Linked DNA regions of Rattus norvegicus. The protein of the gene in region 1 purifies or fractionates together with the protein of each later gene. This does not show direct contact. Links are inferred from orthologs where the notes say so. Each region holds a gene or a part of one and is shown in the gene's direction. Other genes may lie near its edges.

Region 1 (8,968 bases):
ATCTCTCAGGAGAGATCAGCCGGAAATTTGAAAATTAATTACTATGTTCTTAAAGACAGTAAAAGGAAAAATAATCTCTATATATCCTAATTTCTGGTCAGGGAGCACCTAGCTCATAAGGCTTTTATGCTTCTAGGAAAGTTCAGTGAACAATGTGGTTTTTTAAAAAAATAATAAAAAATAAAGGTTTTTTTCGATGTTTAAATTCTACAGCTACTTATTAAATACCTAATTTTTGTCTTTGCCTGGGTAAAGAATCATACTAAGGGTAGAAAGGAACCCTGAGATATGCCTTCTCTTGCTTACAATATTATCGTTGAGAATTGGTCCAATGCCCGGCTTCTGTGCTTGCCTTCCTTCCTTCCAGCTCATGCAGAAAGCCTCGCAAACAGCTTGGCAATGGCTGCCAACGTTTTCAGGCAGTATGGGATTGCTGTACCCCTCCCGCACGCACCAACTGTCCATTCTCTCTTCAGGCTCTTCGAAGGACATACAGCTTACAGTCTTCCCATCTAAGAGCGTCAAAGAGGGAGACACTGTCATTATCTCCTGTACTTGTGGAAGTGTGCCCGAAATATGGATAATTCTGAAAAAGAAAGCCAAGACAGGAGACATGGTGCTAAAGTCTGTTAATGGCTCGTACACCATCCGCAAGGCACAGCTGCAGGATGCCGGAGTATACGAGTGTGAATCGAAAACCGAAGTCGGCTCGCAGTTGCGAAGTTTAACACTTGATGTGAAAGGTTAGCTTTCGGTGTTTGCTTTCTTTTTTTTCTTCTTAATTTATTTTTAAAATGATTCCAAGTTTCCAAGGAGAGTAACAAGTTTCTACTGTTAGCTGGAGTTGGTAAAATGAGACTGAATTCTGTCCGCGCTGACCGCTTGTTTCTTAAACGCGTCTCGAAATAATCAGACGCAGCTGTTCTATCCTATCACGTTTAGCCAGGAAGTGGACATTAATCATCATTGATGTGGAATTCCCATTTGTTTTTTTTTTTTCCCTGAAGTTGCCAATTCATCATTGGTCTCTGTGGTCTTAGATTTGCTAAGAGTTTAACGACATATTTTACAACGTTTCCCCTAGGGTGAAAGGAAACTAAGGAATTGGGGCGGGCATAGCAGATGAACTGTCCTCTGCAGACCTTGCTCCCCAGTGAGGAGAAGTTCTGCTTTCAGAGTACAGAAAAACTGCGTGTATTTTCGGCATGGCTCTTTTGTGAGGATGCTAATTGGAGAGAGTGGCCTGGATCCGAGGCAGGATCTCTAGATTCCACAAGAGCTCCCTTTGAAATCCATGCCCCAGTTGTCCGACTTTAACCTGATGCAGAGGAAGGGGGCACAGTGCCCCTCACCCACGGACACATAATGGCACTCCTTACTTTCCTGTTCTCTCTTGTGAGTGCCTGCTAATTTTATTGATGCTAGCCTTGACTAATGAGCCTTGGACCCTTTGCACACCAAAGAGCTGTTGTACGCTGAAATCCAGTCGGGTAGAGGGAGCAACACTGCTAATGAATGCCAACTCTGAAGAAGGCTGGCCTTGACTATGAGAGTTAACGAGTCACACGTCAGTGCAGAGAAAATCTGAACATGCGTGAGAAAACACATACACACTGTACTAGCCACATTCTTCAAGATGACAGACCTTAGCATACACTGCTTTTCTGTCCTCATAGCACCTCCTCAAATCAGAGCAAATACATCTACTTAGAAATGTTAAAGGAAAGGGAAATATCATAATTACATGTCAGACTTCTAGTCTCCTGCTCATGGTGATTGTTCTGAAAACAATCTGGCCAAGGAGGCTACCATGAATTCAAAGAGCGGAACAGTAGCTCCCATCACGTCACTGGGTATGACACAGTGTGTGCAGCCGTTGCCTCCGGTGAGATGGACCGAGATCTCAATTATGCATAGGCTGAGATATGTCTTCCTCTGGCCAGCTCTAATTTAGCCTAGCCCCAGGAAATTGCACTTCTAAGATTTTTGTCATCCTGCGTGTGCCTGGCTGTTTCTCCTCAAGAACATAAAAACTGTCCCTTCCCACATTGTCTTTTCTAATTGCTTAATTAATTTCTTATGTATTTGTCACCTTTAATTTATCTTTTAAATGAACAATGAAAACATATTAGTCACCCAGCCAGACATCTATGCTCCCAATATGAAGATGATTTCAAATAACTGCATATGAAAAGACCCAAAGTTGACCTCCCTTCCTCCCTGCTCGATAGTTTAAACTGGTTTTTCTTTGTATTCCTAGCTGAATGTTTATGTTTGTTGTCTTGTTTGGTTTTGGCTTAAATGCATCCCATTGATGCAAATGATCAGGAATCGTTAGAACTTTCAAAGTTTATATAATTAACAGGAAAAAATGTGTTGGGACATTGTCCTAGCAACTGGATCCATTTTGAGTTTCTGACAGATGTCTGAGGGACAAACTGAAAGGCAAAGATAATAATTAAATTGAAAAGAAAACAATAGCAGAAATACTTCTTCCTAGTTTGACATCAATATTGACGAGTAACCACAATTATGATAAGTATCCCATTAAACCATTACCCTTCGATCAATTCTATCAAAGGAAAGCAGAGAAATGAGGTCATTATCATGATGCCCAAGGTGAAGCATCGTTTTTTATCCTTCAGTAATTTGAAACAATTCACTCATGAGATGCTAACGAGTCTTTTCTACTTGAATGACTTTCTGTGTTTTGAAAGTTCTGGAAGGAGTTGTCAATGTGCTTCAGATCAGATCTCTAATCCCTGCCCAGACTCAGACAGCATACCCTTCCACTTAGTGAAACATAACTGTGAGGCCACACTGTGGGGTGCAAAAAAAACAGAGGCAAGTCTTGGGAGCATGCCAGGCTCTCTGGAGATGTTTTTATGCAGCTTGGATGTTGCTCGAGGTGTTGCTATACTCGTGTGTTCTCTGAAAAGATTTTAAACTGTTTATATATTGTCATTTTCAGTACTCGATTTATGACCATGTAGCAAAATTATAAGATTTAGAAAGGCAAACACTTTTTTGGTGCTCAAATAATATTTTGGGACTATCCGGAGTGCCAAGACGTGTCTGAAGTGCTGGGTAGTTGTGAGGCACCTTCTATAAACACAGCTGTCTTTACAGAGTTTGCAGTTAGGGGAGGAAACCAGATAATTGCTCGGTCAAATATTGAATTACAAGCTATGAGGGGGATAAGAAGTTGTGCTGGTTGGATTTTGAAGGAATGGTGGAGTGAGTATCAATTTACATACTCCAGTTTAGGTGTAGGTCAGAGAATGTACTCTGCCAGTAACTACGACATTTACTTAAGTGAAATACCCAAAGACCATCAGTAAATGAAGAGAAGTTGTCGATGCTGGAGGGGAGTAATCATATAAAGATACTTTTGCTTCAGCCACTCAGAACACACCACACAAGCACATCCAGGCAACCACTGACAAGAATGCTCTGTCGTTAACCTTAATGCCCACACTGAGTGTTACATAGACTGTCTTATAGAACTCGTTAGGCATTGCTGTTCATGACTATCAGTGTCGCAGGGTTATTTCTGATTTCTACTCTTATAAAACAGGTCACTAAAATGTGCACTACCCCTTCCTTTCAGCACCCAGAACAATCTTTTAAAATCCAAGTTTGTAGAGTCAAAAAGTGTCATCCCTGTACCCATCCTGAGCATAGCAACCAAAAGCTGCTTATTTGGATATTTCAGGAAAAAAAGAAATGTGTTATATGAGTCTCGATGGTCCTCAGCACAGCTTTTACTGCCTCTTTTGAAGAACTAGTTGTACTGTTACAATCAAACACACACTGCGGTTGAATTATTTCCCTTTGTGCTAGACATTAATTGAATCCATTTGCTGATTTTCCAGGAAAAGAAAATAACAAGGACTATTTTTCCCCTGAACTCCTTGCACTCTACTTTGCATCCTCCTTGGTAATACCCGCCATTGGGATGATCATTTACTTTGCAAGAAAAGCCAACATGAAAGGATCGTACAGTCTGGTGGAGGCACAGAAGTCAAAAGTGTAGCTAACGTCTGAACTGTTGGAGAAAAGACATTATTTATAAACCCCGGACCCTTCATACTCTTTATTGCAGCACTGTTCCCCCTCCACAAACCAAGCTATGCATTCAGACTTCTCAGAACCCTTCTCGGCAAAGAAGGAAAAGAAGTGGCCACTTGATCCCTTGCTGAGTGCAAGAAGCCAACTAGAAATCTTCTGCTCGGCAAGTCCCCATTGCTGAAGAGACCGGAACAGTACCATGACATGTATATAAATAGCCTCAGTGTACATATGTAAAATAAAATGATGTCATTGCGAGGTCGTTTAGAGTAGTAGCACTCCAGATGTAGGTCAGAACAAAATCAAAACGTGTTGCTTGGACTGACTGTTGTAACTTCATGCTTCTTAGGAAAGTTTAATGTTGGTGTTAATGTTGAGTAGGCAGCTGACCAGTGTCACCTTTTTGTACTTTATTTTCTTCAGCCTAATTTTATTCCTATGCATTTTATTGACAATGATTTCATTTTTTTTTAAAGAAGCCAGGGTTTTATATTTTTATAGGCAAATGGTAAAAAGGTCACTGGGTTGACTTTCAGGTACTACTTTCCTAATTCATGGTATACTGATTAAGTAGTTTTCTCAACTGTACGGTACGGGGACGTGTTTCTTCATCAGGATCTTGTATAATGACTAACATGGTTTAAATGCAACTTCATTTGACTTATAAATACTACAGTAAAGTGAAAGTTTCTGAACATGGAAGAGCTGCATTTCGTTTGTTGTAAATTGTCTCCTTTAACTGTTGTCTTGTTCTTCTGGAATTGTCAGTTATCAGAGTAAAAAACTTCAAACTATTAACATAATACAGATACTCAAAACATGGTCTTCAGACCACGATTTATCAAAATTGCCATGAGAATATGACAAACAGATTTATTCATATCATCTCACCATAATACATTAAGAACTGTAGTTTGTCATAGACAAGAGCCTAGCATAATCATCATCAGAGAGGCTTCATCCAGCAACTGATGGGGACAGATGCAGAGACCCACAGTCAAACATTAGGCAAAGCTTGGAAACCCTGCAGAAGAGGGAGAGGAGGATTGCAGGAGCCAGAGGGGTCACGGGAACCACAAGAAACCCCACAGAATCAACTAACCCAGGCACACGAGGAGCCACAGAGACTAAACCAACAATCATGGAGCCTGAAGTGCATCTGACCTAGGTCCTTTCCATATAAGTTGTGGTTGTGTAGTGTGGTCTTCTTATAAGACTCCTGACAGTGCCTGCTTTGGGACCCTTTTCTTCCTACTGGGTTGCCTCATCCAGTCTTAATATGAAGGGCAATGTCTAGTCATACTGCAACATGATATGCCATGTATGGTTGACAACCCCGTGTGACCTGTCCTTTTCTGGAGAGAAACAGGAGGAGAATTGGATTCATGGAGATAGGAGGTGGAGAGGAAGGACTGGGAGCAGAGGAGGGAAAGGAATTTCTGGTCAGGATGTAATACAGGAGAAAAGAATGAATAAAAAAATTTAAAGATGATTTGTAGTTTAGGATTCTTGGAATCTAACAATTCGGTTAAAAAATACAGCAAATACAGAGGCGAATGCCAGCAGCAAACCACTGAACTGAGAATAGGACCCCCGTTGAAGGAATCAGAGAAAGAACTGGAAGAGCTTGAAGGGGCTCGAGACCCCATATGTACAACAATGTCAAGCAACCAGAGCTTCCAGGGACTAAGCCACTACCTAAAGACTATACATGGACTGACCCTGGACTCTGGCCTCATAGGTAGCAATGAATATCCTAGTAAGAGCACCAGTGGAAGGGGAAGCCCTGGGTCCTGCTAAGACTGAACCCCCAGTGAACTAGACTGTTGGGGGGAGGGCGGCAATGGGGGGAGGGTTGGGAGGGGAACACCCATAAGGAAGGGGAGGGGGAGGGGGATGTTTGCCCGGATACTGGGAAAGGGAATAACACTCGAAATGTATATAAGAAATACTCAAGTTAATAAATAAAAAAAATAAAAAATAAAAAACGGTTATGCAATATGTACAATAGATTGGCAAAGAATAAACTCTTAGGTACATACTACAAAGTCTAAAAGACAAAACTGTTATTTTTCAGGTCATCTTGTATGTGTAACACAGTAGCAACTCTCTTCCCACTGAGTCAGTAGGTCCTGAATTATGGCTTGGTCATTTTCCCTCTCTGGAGGATCTGTACCTGTATAAATAAGTAACTCTTAGTAGTACATGAGCTTGCTAGGCTTTGAATTGTATACAAGCAAAATCCAATGACATGTGTGCCCTGTGACTTTATTCTTTTTTCAAACTTTAATTCTTGCACAATTTAGCCATTGTTAGTTGTTACAGACAATATAGGTCACTCGTTTTCTCTGCTCTCCAGGGTTCTACTCTAAGACTTTATGTTTCTTGTTTGTCCATCCTTTTATTAATAGATATTTGTGTGTTTTCATCTTTTCTGATATGAAAAGAAGCTCCTGTAAGCGTTACTGCAATGTGAGAATTTATGAATGTTGCCATGGTTTCCCTAGAGCCTGTACCAATCAGCCAGTATTCTTGATGGTAGTTTGTGTGCACTGTCAGGTTCATCAGGGAAGCCAATCCTTTCAAAAGTAGTTACATAATGTCTTCCTTCTCTACAGTGAAGAATTCCCACCAGTGCTCACCCTGCTCAATGTGGCGTCATCTGACTTAAATAATTTATTTATTCTCAATTATTGTTTCTCAAAATGCTTTAACATTAAATTGACCTGATCATTAGTGAATTTGAACATTATTTTCATATATTTAAGAATGATTTTATCTTTACTGACACTTGAACTCTCTTCCCTAAAAATATCTATATATCAGACAAGAGTCTAGCATGGCTGTCCTCTGAGAGGTTCCTTCCAGCAACTGACTCAGACAGATACAGACACCCACAGCCAGTGAATAGAGCTTGAACTCATGGAAGAATAGGGGGAAGAATTGCAAGCCCCCAAAGGGGATAAAACTCTGTAGGAAGATCAACAGAGTAAACTAACCTCAACCTTTGGGGCTCTCAGAGACTGAACCATCAGCCAAAGAACATTCAAAGGCTGGACCTAGGCCTCCCCACACATGTGTAGCAGATTTGCAGCCTGGTCGTCACGTGGGTCCTGAACAACTGGAGCAGGGGCCATCCCTAAAGCTGTTGTCTGTCTATGGGATATGTTCTTCTAGCTGGGCTGCCTTGTCTGGCCTCGGTGGGAGAGGATGTGCCTAGTCTCACAGAGATTTAATGTATCAAGGTGAGGGGATACCCAGGGGAGCTCCCACCCACTCAGAGGAGAAGGGGAGGAGGGGATAGGGAAGGATTGTGGGAGAGGGTTACCGAGAGGTGGTCAGAGTATATTGACCTTTTATTCTGGAGTATAGTGATCTGTTTTTATTAACACATAAATACACACAAATACTCTTTTCCTTGATCCCAGTCCTTTGATTTCCTTTTATAATCGCTCAGCTGCTCTACATAGTCCACTACCCCATTTATGACCTATGGATTCACCTCTGGGGTCTCTTCAGATGACAGTAATTTAAATTCCACCATACTCAAATGTGTTGAGTTTTCTATTTTGGCTTCCAAGTTCTGTCATAATTAAAACATATTTTTCTGCTCAGAGGTAGAATGTTTACTACCCTGCCTCAAAAAGTTTTGTAGTTTCCTATGCATAAAATCCATGCGAGTTCAAGCCAGACCAAATGCCATCATTGAGAGGGGCATAGGATACCACCCCAGCAGAACAGCTACTGGTAACTGATAGTTGCTGGGAGGGGGAGAAATAGTCTCCAGGGAAGAGCACATATTATCTAATAGCAAATGGTCAGCACTGAAAACATACATACAGGTACCATCATATAGACTGAACAGGTTATATTTACAAATACATATGTATATACATATACATGTGTGCATGTAACAACGAAAAGGGGGCAATGGATTTGAAAGAGAGCAAGAAGGGTTGCGTGGGAGGGTTTGGCGGAAGCAGAAAGAAGTGGTTGTAATTATATGACAATCTCAAAAATAAAACTCAAACACACACACACACACACACACACACACACAAATAGAATATTATTATTCTTTTAATGACTGGAGGATCTTTATGTACTCCCCTGCATTAACGTTGGTGACTTGTGTTTTCTCTTTCCTTGGTTAGACGAGTAGAGGTTGATCTATGCCACTGAGCTTTGCAAAGCACTGCCTTCTCGTTTCCTTGATTTTAACCTACTGCTTTTGCTTCCTGTGCCACTGACCTTTGTGCCTTCTTATGACTTCATTTCCCTGTTTTCTTTAGATGGGGCTTGCTATTCTTTTTCTAGACTATTTGGGAGAGACCTTATTCAACTATTTAGAGCCTTCCATAGCTTTAGTATAAGCAGTTGAGGGATAATTATTCCATGTAATTAGCTTCGTGTCACAAACTGTTATGTGGTATATTTCATTCTCATTCAGTTAAAATATGTACTAAATCCCTGTGTGATTTCTTCTTTTTTTAAAAAACATGAGTTATTTAAAAGAAGGTCCCATGTATCTGGGGCCTTCCCATTCAGTCATCTCTCTATTAATTATCTTTAGTTAATTCCAGAAGTAAATCTGGGAGCTTACTTCTTATGAATTAAATATTGATTGAATTTGTTGAGGTTTATTGTGTTGTTCACAATACAGTCTTTCACAGAGAATATTTGATGTGTACTTGTAAACAATTTGTGTTCCCTAGCTGTTGGATAAGTGGAATTATAAAAACAACCAGGTCTAGTCATTTGCTCAACAATTTTCAAGTGTTCTGTATTGTATTTATTCTTAGTCTGTATCTCCTCTCAATCTGAGAGCATTCTGAATTATCCAGTTATAACTGTGAGTTTTGCCTCTTTCCCTTGATGAGCCCAAGGAAAGTAAAAA
Region 2 (9,687 bases), on another chromosome or scaffold:
CAATCCAAAACAGTTGGTAAGGGTGGACCTCAGGTATTGTGGGGAGACATGGGAGGGAGGGAGCTGTCAAAGACAGACACACAGCAGAGCCCAACTTGCTGACCAATGGGGATGATCAAACAGGTGTATTAAACAAGATGACACTGTGTACATACAAGTCAGTGCTAACAGCAGAAGCACTAACAGAGCCGCTAGGGAGGATGAGGGTGAGCACAGTTCACAGAGCCTGGCCTCTGAGAGGTAGCCCGCACTGTGGGACACACGGCAGGAGGGGCACCCATCCTTCGAGAAGTGCCAAGTGCTTTGTGGAGGGAACACAAGCCATGCATACAGACATGTGGCTGGCCACCAGTCTGTGGGGACAGAGCTGGGATCTACTGACTAGACTGGGAGTCCCTGTTGGTAGGACTTATTTCAAATTCCAAGAGGACACTGGTTCAAATTGAACTGATCTCCTGGCTGGGGGAAGATCCTGACATGCTTACAACTTTATGTGAGGAAGAGCCAGGTAGAAGCCCTCCCCTCCCCTCACTGTGTTCCATTAGTGTGATTAATAATAAATATCCCCAGGCACTTGGTGCTGGCAAGACGCCTTGTCACTGCTGCTCATTACCCGTCCGCCACCCCCAGCTTCCAGGCTGCCCATTAGGTGCTGTGGAGAGAGGAGTCATGAAATGCACCTCCTCCCTGAGTGTGCCTGTCACAGCCTGGGACTGAGGCCATGCGTTTAGGCTGGCGGAAACCAAGTAGAACTTAACTCACAAGACCCAGGCCTAGCTTATTATCTTATTTTTGAGAAACCATGTGACTTTCCAAAAGGTACTTCACTTCCCAGACTCTCAATCTCCTCATTCCTAACACTGAAAAGTCTTTTGTGACATGATGTGAGTCCCTAGTACTCACTATATGGTAGGTAACATTTTCTCTGCTGTTAACTCAAACTCTGGTTTTTTGTTTCCAACAAAAGAGTTCCCTGTGAGTTTGATTTATATTTTCAGCCATATTGTGTCATAGGTTGAACTTGATCTGTTGGAGTGACAGCTGTATATTCTATTATAGTACCACCTAACTTCAGAATGTGCACACGTACACGCACCACATCCACCCATCTACTCCCCTTAAATACATGCACAAAGAAAATCTGGGTAACATGTCAAGGAGCTGAGCAAACTACTTAAAAGGGAGGCGCAGGAATCCAAGTGGAGTGGGAAGGATGCCATAGGGTGGAGGAAGGTTAAAGAGTGAAGGAAAAGAGGCAGGGAAATGGGTGAAACTGAGCCTAGGCAAGGAAAAATTGCAGAGTGCAAATTTTGGTGATCAGAACTACAGAACTGTGATAAGTCTTTTCTAGCCAGAATAGCCAGACTGATTCATGGAAAAGTCCACCACCAGATTTCTTGGTGACCCTGGATCTCACTAAATCTCTTGGTTGGCTGGCCAAAAAGCCTCTGGGACCTACTTGTCTCTGCACCATCCTTCTCCTCATATACCTCCTTGCCAGTCTTTCAGGTGGATGGTGGCATTTGAAGTCAAGCCCTCATGCTTATTGTGTAATAATTTTACCAATGGATTCCACTCTCCAGCTCTGAAATCTCTTTGCTCAATCTCCTGTCCCTTCATTGTGTTCTCTCCAGCTTTCTTGGACACTGGATCTAGAATGTTCCTGTACTGCGTCTGCTCCTAGCGGCCCTACCTTGCTTGACTGTTTAATAACACACTTGCCTAACCTTCCTTGAATGTTAGGAATTTAGCACATCTAAAATCCAAAATCTCTTCATGCTCCCTATGTCCCCCTGGGGAGCCTATGTGTGTGGATGTTCAAACTTTATTTCCATGTCTTTTTCTCCACACAGACTACCATAAATTAGATCATTTTTAAACTTAATTGTTGGGATTAGTCTGGTCCCAGTAAGATTGGTATAATTCTCTGAAGAAGAGGTTGGCAGGGGAAGAACAGAAGTATTGACCATGTAAATATGGAGTGGCATGCAGAGAGGTAGGAAGTAAGATGAATATCCCTGTCCTTACGGAAGAACAGCAGAGCACCACAGTTGCCTCTGGTTTGCACTGAAGATACGGAGACTATTTCAAGTCTAACATGCCAGTAATGTCCAGTTGCTTGACCACAGTAACCATTGCTACTTCAAGCAGCTTCTGTGTGGTGAAGGGGGAAGGTGGGGCATTACTTCATTGGTTCTCTCCCGACTCCACCCTGATTTTAACCATCATTGCTTTTGTGCAATCACTCATTCCCTAGGCCTAATCCTACCCATCTCCCTCAGATTCTTTTCAACTACTTCCTTACTATATTCTACCTGCCCCCACCCTATGGCATCCTTTCCTCTCCACTTGGATTCCAATGCTTCCCTTAGCATTTTAGTAGTTTGCTCAGCTCCTTGACATGCTACCCAGTTTTTCTTTGCGCATGTGTTTGCAGGGAGTAAAAGGGAGGGTGTGTCATGGCTGCGGATGTGCACATGCACATGGGGGTTAGGGAATTACATACTGGGGATTTCCACGTTCCAGAAAGTTAAAGTAGTCTGCAGTGGACTTATTTTAGTTATTTATTTTAGTGCCAAGATCTTTTAGGCCCTAGGTGAACATGAATGAAGAAATCAGTGAGGTTCTTTAACTTTGTAGGGGCTGAATAAGGTGGAGGGTCCATGGGCCATGGCAGTATCAAGGAATGTTGATTGGTTACCATTTCTACTCTTGCTACTGAGGTATTCTGAGAGGTCTTACTCCTCCTTGGGGCAAACACTTGACAGGCAAAGTTCTTTTTTACCTTACCACCTATCAGTGAACAGTGGTATCAGTGTCAGAAATGGAGGCATGTTGACTCATGAACACTGTAAAGTTGTGAGAAAATAAAATGGAACTGTTAGGTTCCTGAGTGTAAATGTAAGACTTTATGCAACTACCTACATGTTTCCTTTTTTCCTGAACTGGCTACTTATTTCTCCTCTTTTTATAATGTTTGAATGGGAAAGGACCTTGGAAACCCTGTAGTTTGGTCATTGTTATGGAAGGGGAAACTCAATATCAGAGAGGGGAAGGGACTTACCCAAGAAAGCGCAGAGGACACAGTGTGAGTTAATGATAAAACAATGATTTGAAGCCCGGTGGGTGTTCCGATTGCCCCTTTCAGATGTCCTTTCCACTATTCTGTGTTTGACTCTCCATCACTGAGGTATATGGTAATTTACCTCAGGAAAGACACACAATCCATGCCCCTGCATGGTTACCAGAACTGGAGGGTATCTCACCTGAAAGACTTGAATTTTTATTAAAAAGTGAATGTGAACCTGGCATTAGAGTGCATACCTATAGTCCCAGCACTAACGTGGCAGAAGCAGGAGGATTGGGGGTCCAAGTCAACTGGCTGCTGTTAGTACTCTGTGTCAAAAACAGTGGAAGTCTAGAAATGGTGTCAGACATCTGTGACCCAGTTGAGGTAGTAGGATTATTAGTCCAAGACTAACTTAGCCAATGTAGTAGGATCGTGAGTTCAAGACTAACCTAATCTATATAATGAGTTTAAAGCCAGCTCTGGTGACAAACAGACCAACCAAATCCAATATGTTGGGGAAGGGCTAAGGAAAAAACCAGAATACTGATGTGAGGAGAGTTGGGACTGGGAATTGGAGGATAGAAAGTGAACTTAGAAAACAGATATTTGGGAAAGGATCTCAATTCTGGAGAAAATGAGGCCCATACAGGGTCGAAGGAAGTGTGACAGGTTAAATGAATCCTATAGAAGGGAATGAATTGCTGAGGAAGAGCTGAAGAAGTTTAGTCCAGAAGTTTCCTGAGGAGTAGCAGAACTCCCAGGGGCTGCTATGGACAGCAGAGGATTTGTTGTGGTCCCAGGGAGCTTAAGGTGTTGAGTGATTGGAAGTCACAGAGAAAAAAGGAGGAACTTTCTAACTGACAAGGCTTCCTAGAGAGGGAACTGGGCAGCTCTACTAGGCAACCGGGTTCCCAATAGTGGTAACTCATAGTTCAGAAGCATCTGCTAGGGTGTGGCCCCCCAGTCAAGCTCTGGCTCAGACTGGGGGCGGAGTCAGATGGTCGAAACTTGGAGGGAGGGGGCAGTGAGGAAAGGTGGGGGGGCAGAGTGGGCATGGGTGGGGAGTGGGTGTCTTTGCGGAGTTTTGGCCCCGGGTCTGGCCCCCCACGTGGCCGGAGTAGCCTCTCTGGGCTGGGCAGGGTTGGGCGGGGCGATGCCCGAAGCCGCGGGCAGGCTGGCGGGAGGGCGGGGAGAGGCGCGGAAGCCCGGCCACATAAAGGAGCGAGCAGCGCAACGGGGGCGGCTCTTTCCTGGGTGGGGTTTGTAAAGTCGTGGCCCGTTAGCAGGAAGCGGAGCAGTCGCCCGACGCTAGAGTGGGACCCAATCTGAGCACCCGGTTCTCCCGAGTCCTTGCCGAAGTGTACTGCGCGCTCAGAGCAGCCCGACAGTTTCCAGCCAAACTTCAGCAACTCCTCCCTTGCCGCCACCATGCCGAAGACGGTGAGTGCGGCGGACTGGCGCGGTCGGCCCTGGGGGCTCCAGTTTGACCCTTGCCACTCTATGGCTTCGGGCTTGGTTGGTCTTAGGCCTGCTGGGGATGCTGGGCTGTCCCTTAGGGCCCTAGGAAGGAGGAGATAGTGGGGTCCTAATTTGAGCGCTTTAGGGGGTGACGGGGTGTAAAGACTAAAGTGTGGATAAGGAGTGGCCAGCCTTTCTTGGGTTCCAGTTCCCCGCCTCTGGGATGAAGCAGTGGAAACTCTTTTGAGGGGCTGGATAAACCCCCTTTTCTAACGGGTCGTTGGGCACTGGGAAAACGACTCTACTTTTGAGAACATTTCCCCCGCCCAGGAATTGGCGCCTTTCTGGAGCAAAGCTATCAGTGTCTCAGAAGAGCCCCATGGTTACAGAGAAGCAGGGAGGAGAGAGGAAGTTGCACAGGGCGGATCCCACACACCCATCCACCTTTCCCATAACCGCCCCTCTTCTACCCCACTTCTGCTCTGCCCCCTTCCACGGCTTCACAGCTCCAACTCCTTCCCCTGGGAGATGAGGAAGATGTAGGGGGACTCATCAGCTAGGCTGCTTTTCCCAGGGGTACAAACACTTCATTAGGCACAAGTCTGTGGAGGGGCCCACTCAACCTACTGGAAGACAGGGCAGGTTTCTCTTCCTCTATTCAAAATCCCTGTCAGACATAGTGCCTCTCTGTCCCCTTAGGACCGTTTTGTGAGGTATAGGTTTTCTCCTTTGGGGGCCACACCTATCTAGTGTGGTGGTTGATTTGTGATCTGGTCTCCACCCCACTGGCTGTTGCTACCCGAAGCCTCCTGGGAGTGAGGCCTAGGGGGGCCGGATGCCCAGTAGGGAGGGGTGGGGGAGGGGTATGTGCTTGACTAATGAGCTCTGCTTGCTTTTGTGCAAGTCACGCCAGGTCCTTGCTCATGAAGGCCCTATGACCACCGTGAATTGAATTACTTAGGTGAAGGGGCTTGCTGGGTTCCTGTGTTGTATGTTGCTAGCCTATCCATCTCTCTAGGACTGCCTGAGCTTGGTAGAACTGAGATAGTGTCTAGGATGCTTGAGAAGGGATTAAGGCGCCTGGGAAGAGAAGAGAGCGAATAGACATGGGGAGGTCTTTGTGTCTGTATTGAGGTTTCTTCGCCACCTTATACTATATTCCAGCTACACTACTGAGTCGTCCTTGCCTTCGCAGAACCCAGTTCTTAAGAAACACCAAGCTTTCTTTTTTAAATATATATTCTAATTTTTTGAGTCAGAGTCCCTTAGTCTTATATAAAATTATACTTTGTGAAAGTATATACGTATGTGAAATTATACTTTGTTCCCTACCTCCACTGCCCTCCTGTCATCTCCTTCACCCCAAGACCTCTGGCAGATTTCCTAACTCCCCTCAGTTAGTCTTCCCTTCTGTTTTCTTATCACATGTATTCTGTGGGGCTTTGCAGTGGGGAGGATCTCACCCTATAATCTAGGCTGGCATGGTACTCCCCATGTAATGTAGGTTGCTTTCAGATTTTTGCCAATCTTCCTGCCTCGGCGGTGCTGAGATTACGGGCTTGAGCCACCACATCTGGCTTGTTAAATTGTTTTGATAGAGGATTTGATTCTAGCCAAGGCTGGTTTGAACTCACTTTGTTTTGTAGCCTGAGATATACCTAAAAACTCTTGGAAGTAAATCCTTTTCAAATGAGAGATTCTAAGTTTGAGCCACCACTAAACTCGGCTTCTATTCCTTCAGCTTCTAAGCTGTGTACTTAACCATTTCTAAACTATGAAAGATAGAGAATGGTAGTGTCAAAAATTAAATGCCTTTTTTTGTGTTCGACATGATCAGTTTCACCGTTTAAGCCAATTTCTCTTAGCCAGGACAGCCTACTTTGAATATGTTGAAATACACCTTTTTGGGACTATTTCTGGTTACTAGTTCCCAAAGTCTGGTCTTGTGTTTTTCAAGGCAAGGTCCTATACTGTTGTAGCAGAGGTAGGCCTCCAGTTCCTAGCCATCTCAACCCAGCCCGCTGAGTGCTAGGATCAGAGAAGCTCTTACAGGTTCTGGTCTCAGTGCCTCACGTGGCAACTTACAACTGCCTGTAACGCCAGTTCCAGGGGATCTAACTCCCTCTTTTGGTGTCCTTAAGCATCAGGCACAAATGTGGTACACATACATGCTGCCAAAACACTCATGAACATAAAATAAAAATAAACTTTTTTTTTTGGAGAAAGTCTTTCCCTTTCAATTCCATCTTTAACTTTTTGTTTTTATTTCCAAGAATTAGGAGACTCACTTAGATTTCCTAAAAAGGAGATTGTTAATTTTCAAGATTTTGAGTTTTTAATTTCAAACTTTAGGATGTATTAAGTGTTACAATTTATTTATTTGCTGAACTGGTTTTATGAAACAGGGTCTCATATATCCTAGGCTAGACTTGAACTTCCACCACCAAAATACTGGGATTTGTTGTCATAAGACCAAGTCCAAGTCTTCCCATTGTCTAGATGGGGGGATTGAAACTGGTGAACGGGGAGAATGGACCATGACTGTTGCAGCATACCAACAGGAAGACTACAACTTGGGTCTAGGTCTTTTTTGAGGTGGGGAGGTCAGTCTTGGAAAAACCTGTTTAGTTTACTGGGATTTAGCAAATCATGGGAAAAAGTGATCAGTGCTCACTGGATGGTACCATCCATGATTGACACAGAGCCCAGCTCCTTGAAGTATTTGAAAACTTCTGGGTCCGCATTCAGCTAAACTTTAACAGGGGCTGTATGAACTGTTGGTTTTCCTGCCATTCCTAGCATTGCTTGAGCCACTGAAGTGGCACTAAAGTGGTACTTGGCGAATAGGGGGCAGAATTTCAGGCTTCTAACCCTTGAACCAGCCCTGCCTGTAGACTTGAGGGTGGGGCAAAGGATCAGGAATGAAGGTCGTGTGGGAGGCTTCTGTCTCTGTCTGCTGCACCTCCCCACCATCTCTCTCTTTTTTGGAAACAGTTGCTGTGTAGCCCTCAGGGGCCTATAAAATAGGTTGGTCTTTTCTTTTTTTTTTTTTTTTTGGTTGTTGGTGTTTTAACTCAGAGCAATCCTCTTGACTCTGCTTCAGAATTTCTGGAATTATAGGTGTGAACTACCACCTGAGGGTGTTTTGTTTTTGTTTTGAGACAGAGTCATGCTCTGTACAGCCCAAATTGGCCTTGATTCCAGACAATCCTATTTCTATCTCTCTAATGATGAAATTATATAGTCTGCACGCACACACACACACACACACACACAGAGGAGTGGACATCAAAGGATCAAAGGGCAAAGTTTCGGGAGTCTGTTCTCCTCACTATGGGATCTGGCAATAAAGTGGTCAGCTTTGGCTGCTAAGTGGGTTACCCTTTGAGCCATCTTGGACATCACTCGATTTGTTTGTAACGGAGTATCATGATGCCCACTTTGGATTCCAACAAGATATATAGGCAAGGATGACCTTGAACTCTGTATCTTCCCACCCCAGCCTCCCTTATACTAGGATAACAGATGATGTTACAGTGTCTACGCTTTTCTCCACTCTTGATTTTCCAATTTGCTGAACCCTTTGTGGAAGTCTAGATAGTAGAGAACAGAACAGGCACCATCTTGGGGATTTCATTTATACCTACTCATGAAAAATCTCTTGCACAGAGAGGGAAAAGTCAAGGCACAAAATAGCCTCTACTTTTTTCTTGGGGGGAAGGTTGCTCTCTCAGTCAGTGATGCATTATTCTCTAAGTGCCGTAATGGCGGCCTGTAAGGGAAGTGTTATCAGGCATGGTAGCTCATGCCTGTAATTGTAGCACTTGGGAGGATAGAAAGAAGATTGTAGTGAGTTTGAGGCCAGCTTGAGTTATAGAGTGAGGCTGTCTAACCCTCCCCCCCCCAAAAAAAAAACCCTAACAGTGAACCAAAAAAAAAAAAGCGGTGCCTTTTCTTCTGTCTGATACTGTAATCCTACTGCTTTACTAGATTGTGGAGATGGAAGGGACATTTAGAGGTCATTTAGTCTTTCCCCATGCTTCCAAATCTAATTCTCTATGGATGAGAAGTGATGACAGCTACAATTATTCTGAACTCTGTTCTAATAGTGTTGCTTAGCAACAGTCTTTCTTAGGTTCCATTGTATATTCAGGGAGTCCACCTCCTGCCCCCACTGGAATTTCTAGGCTCAGGGTCCCTGGAGGGGGAGCACTGGCTACGAGCAGTACTATCAGGGTTGGGCTTTTCATGGCCACACTGGGTCTGATCTTTGAAGATAGATCCTGACTCTGATCTTTGAAAGATAGAACTGAGTTTATCATGTGCTTCTTTCTTAACTTCAATCTTTTCTGCTACCCCACCTCATTCCTCTGTCCCTTAAAGAAGGAAAAAAACAACCAAACAAATGAACAGTACAAAGGTGGTCTTCCTTGGGGCTGTCCGTTGGTCAGGTCATGATGAGGATGGTTTTTTATAATTGACTGGCTTTGCTGTTCATCCCTTTTACTTCATGCTTGATAGAGCTGAAAAACTTTGCAGTTCCAGGTTCTAATTTGTGATAGAGGATCTCTTGGTTTGGAGGGTTAGCTCAGCATTACATGAACAAGGATCGTGGGTGTTGGGAAATAGAAAGTAAAACTCAACTTAGAATATTCGTTCTCATTCTATATAAGGAGATGAGATGCTCTTTGATTTTTAAAGACTTATTATGTGTTATTTATATTTGAACAAAAAAAATTTCCTTGAAGCTTGGTGGTGGTGGCACACATCTTTAATCCCAGCATTTCAGAAGCAGAGGCAGGCTGATCTCTGTGAGTTTGAGGGCTTCCTGGCCTACAGAACTAGTCCCAGGACAGCCAGGGACACACAGAGGGACTCTGTTTCAAACAAACAAACAAACAAACAAACAAACAAACAAACAATTTCTTTGAAAGTGTTCCTGAGACTTTTAAAGGAATTCTGTGAATATATAGATACTTGCCAATAGCTGAAATTCTAAATGTTGCCTGAGTCTATAAAATTAAACAGATATCCTCCTAAATTTTGTTTTTCGTTTTTGAAACCCTAAGTTTCTGTTGATCCAGATTGGTCTAGAATGCATGAGAATATCCTGACTCAGCCTCCTAAAAATATCTTCTTTCTTCTTTTTTTTTTTTTTT

What was found.
Region 2: the proteins of Vcam1 (region 1) and Msn purify together in Homo sapiens (affinity purification with western blotting; 3 studies listed by BioGRID, with this or other methods). This does not show direct contact. The link is inferred for Rattus norvegicus from reciprocal best matches to the Homo sapiens genes VCAM1 and MSN.

What each region holds. Positions count from the first base shown.
Region 1 is NC_086020.1:206,718,846-206,727,813, reverse strand, and holds the end of Vcam1 (vascular cell adhesion protein 1 precursor), read left to right. Parts: intron 1-476; coding exon 477-743; intron 744-3,875; coding exon 3,876-4,036; 3' UTR 4,037-4,764; downstream 4,765-8,968. UniProt on the Homo sapiens protein: Cell adhesion glycoprotein predominantly expressed on the surface of endothelial cells that plays an important role in immune surveillance and inflammation.
Region 2 is NC_086039.1:65,001,147-65,010,833, forward strand, and holds the start of Msn (moesin), read left to right. Parts: upstream 1-4,399; 5' UTR 4,400-4,498; coding exon 4,499-4,510; intron 4,511-9,687. UniProt on the Homo sapiens protein: Ezrin-radixin-moesin (ERM) family protein that connects the actin cytoskeleton to the plasma membrane and thereby regulates the structure and function of specific domains of the cell cortex.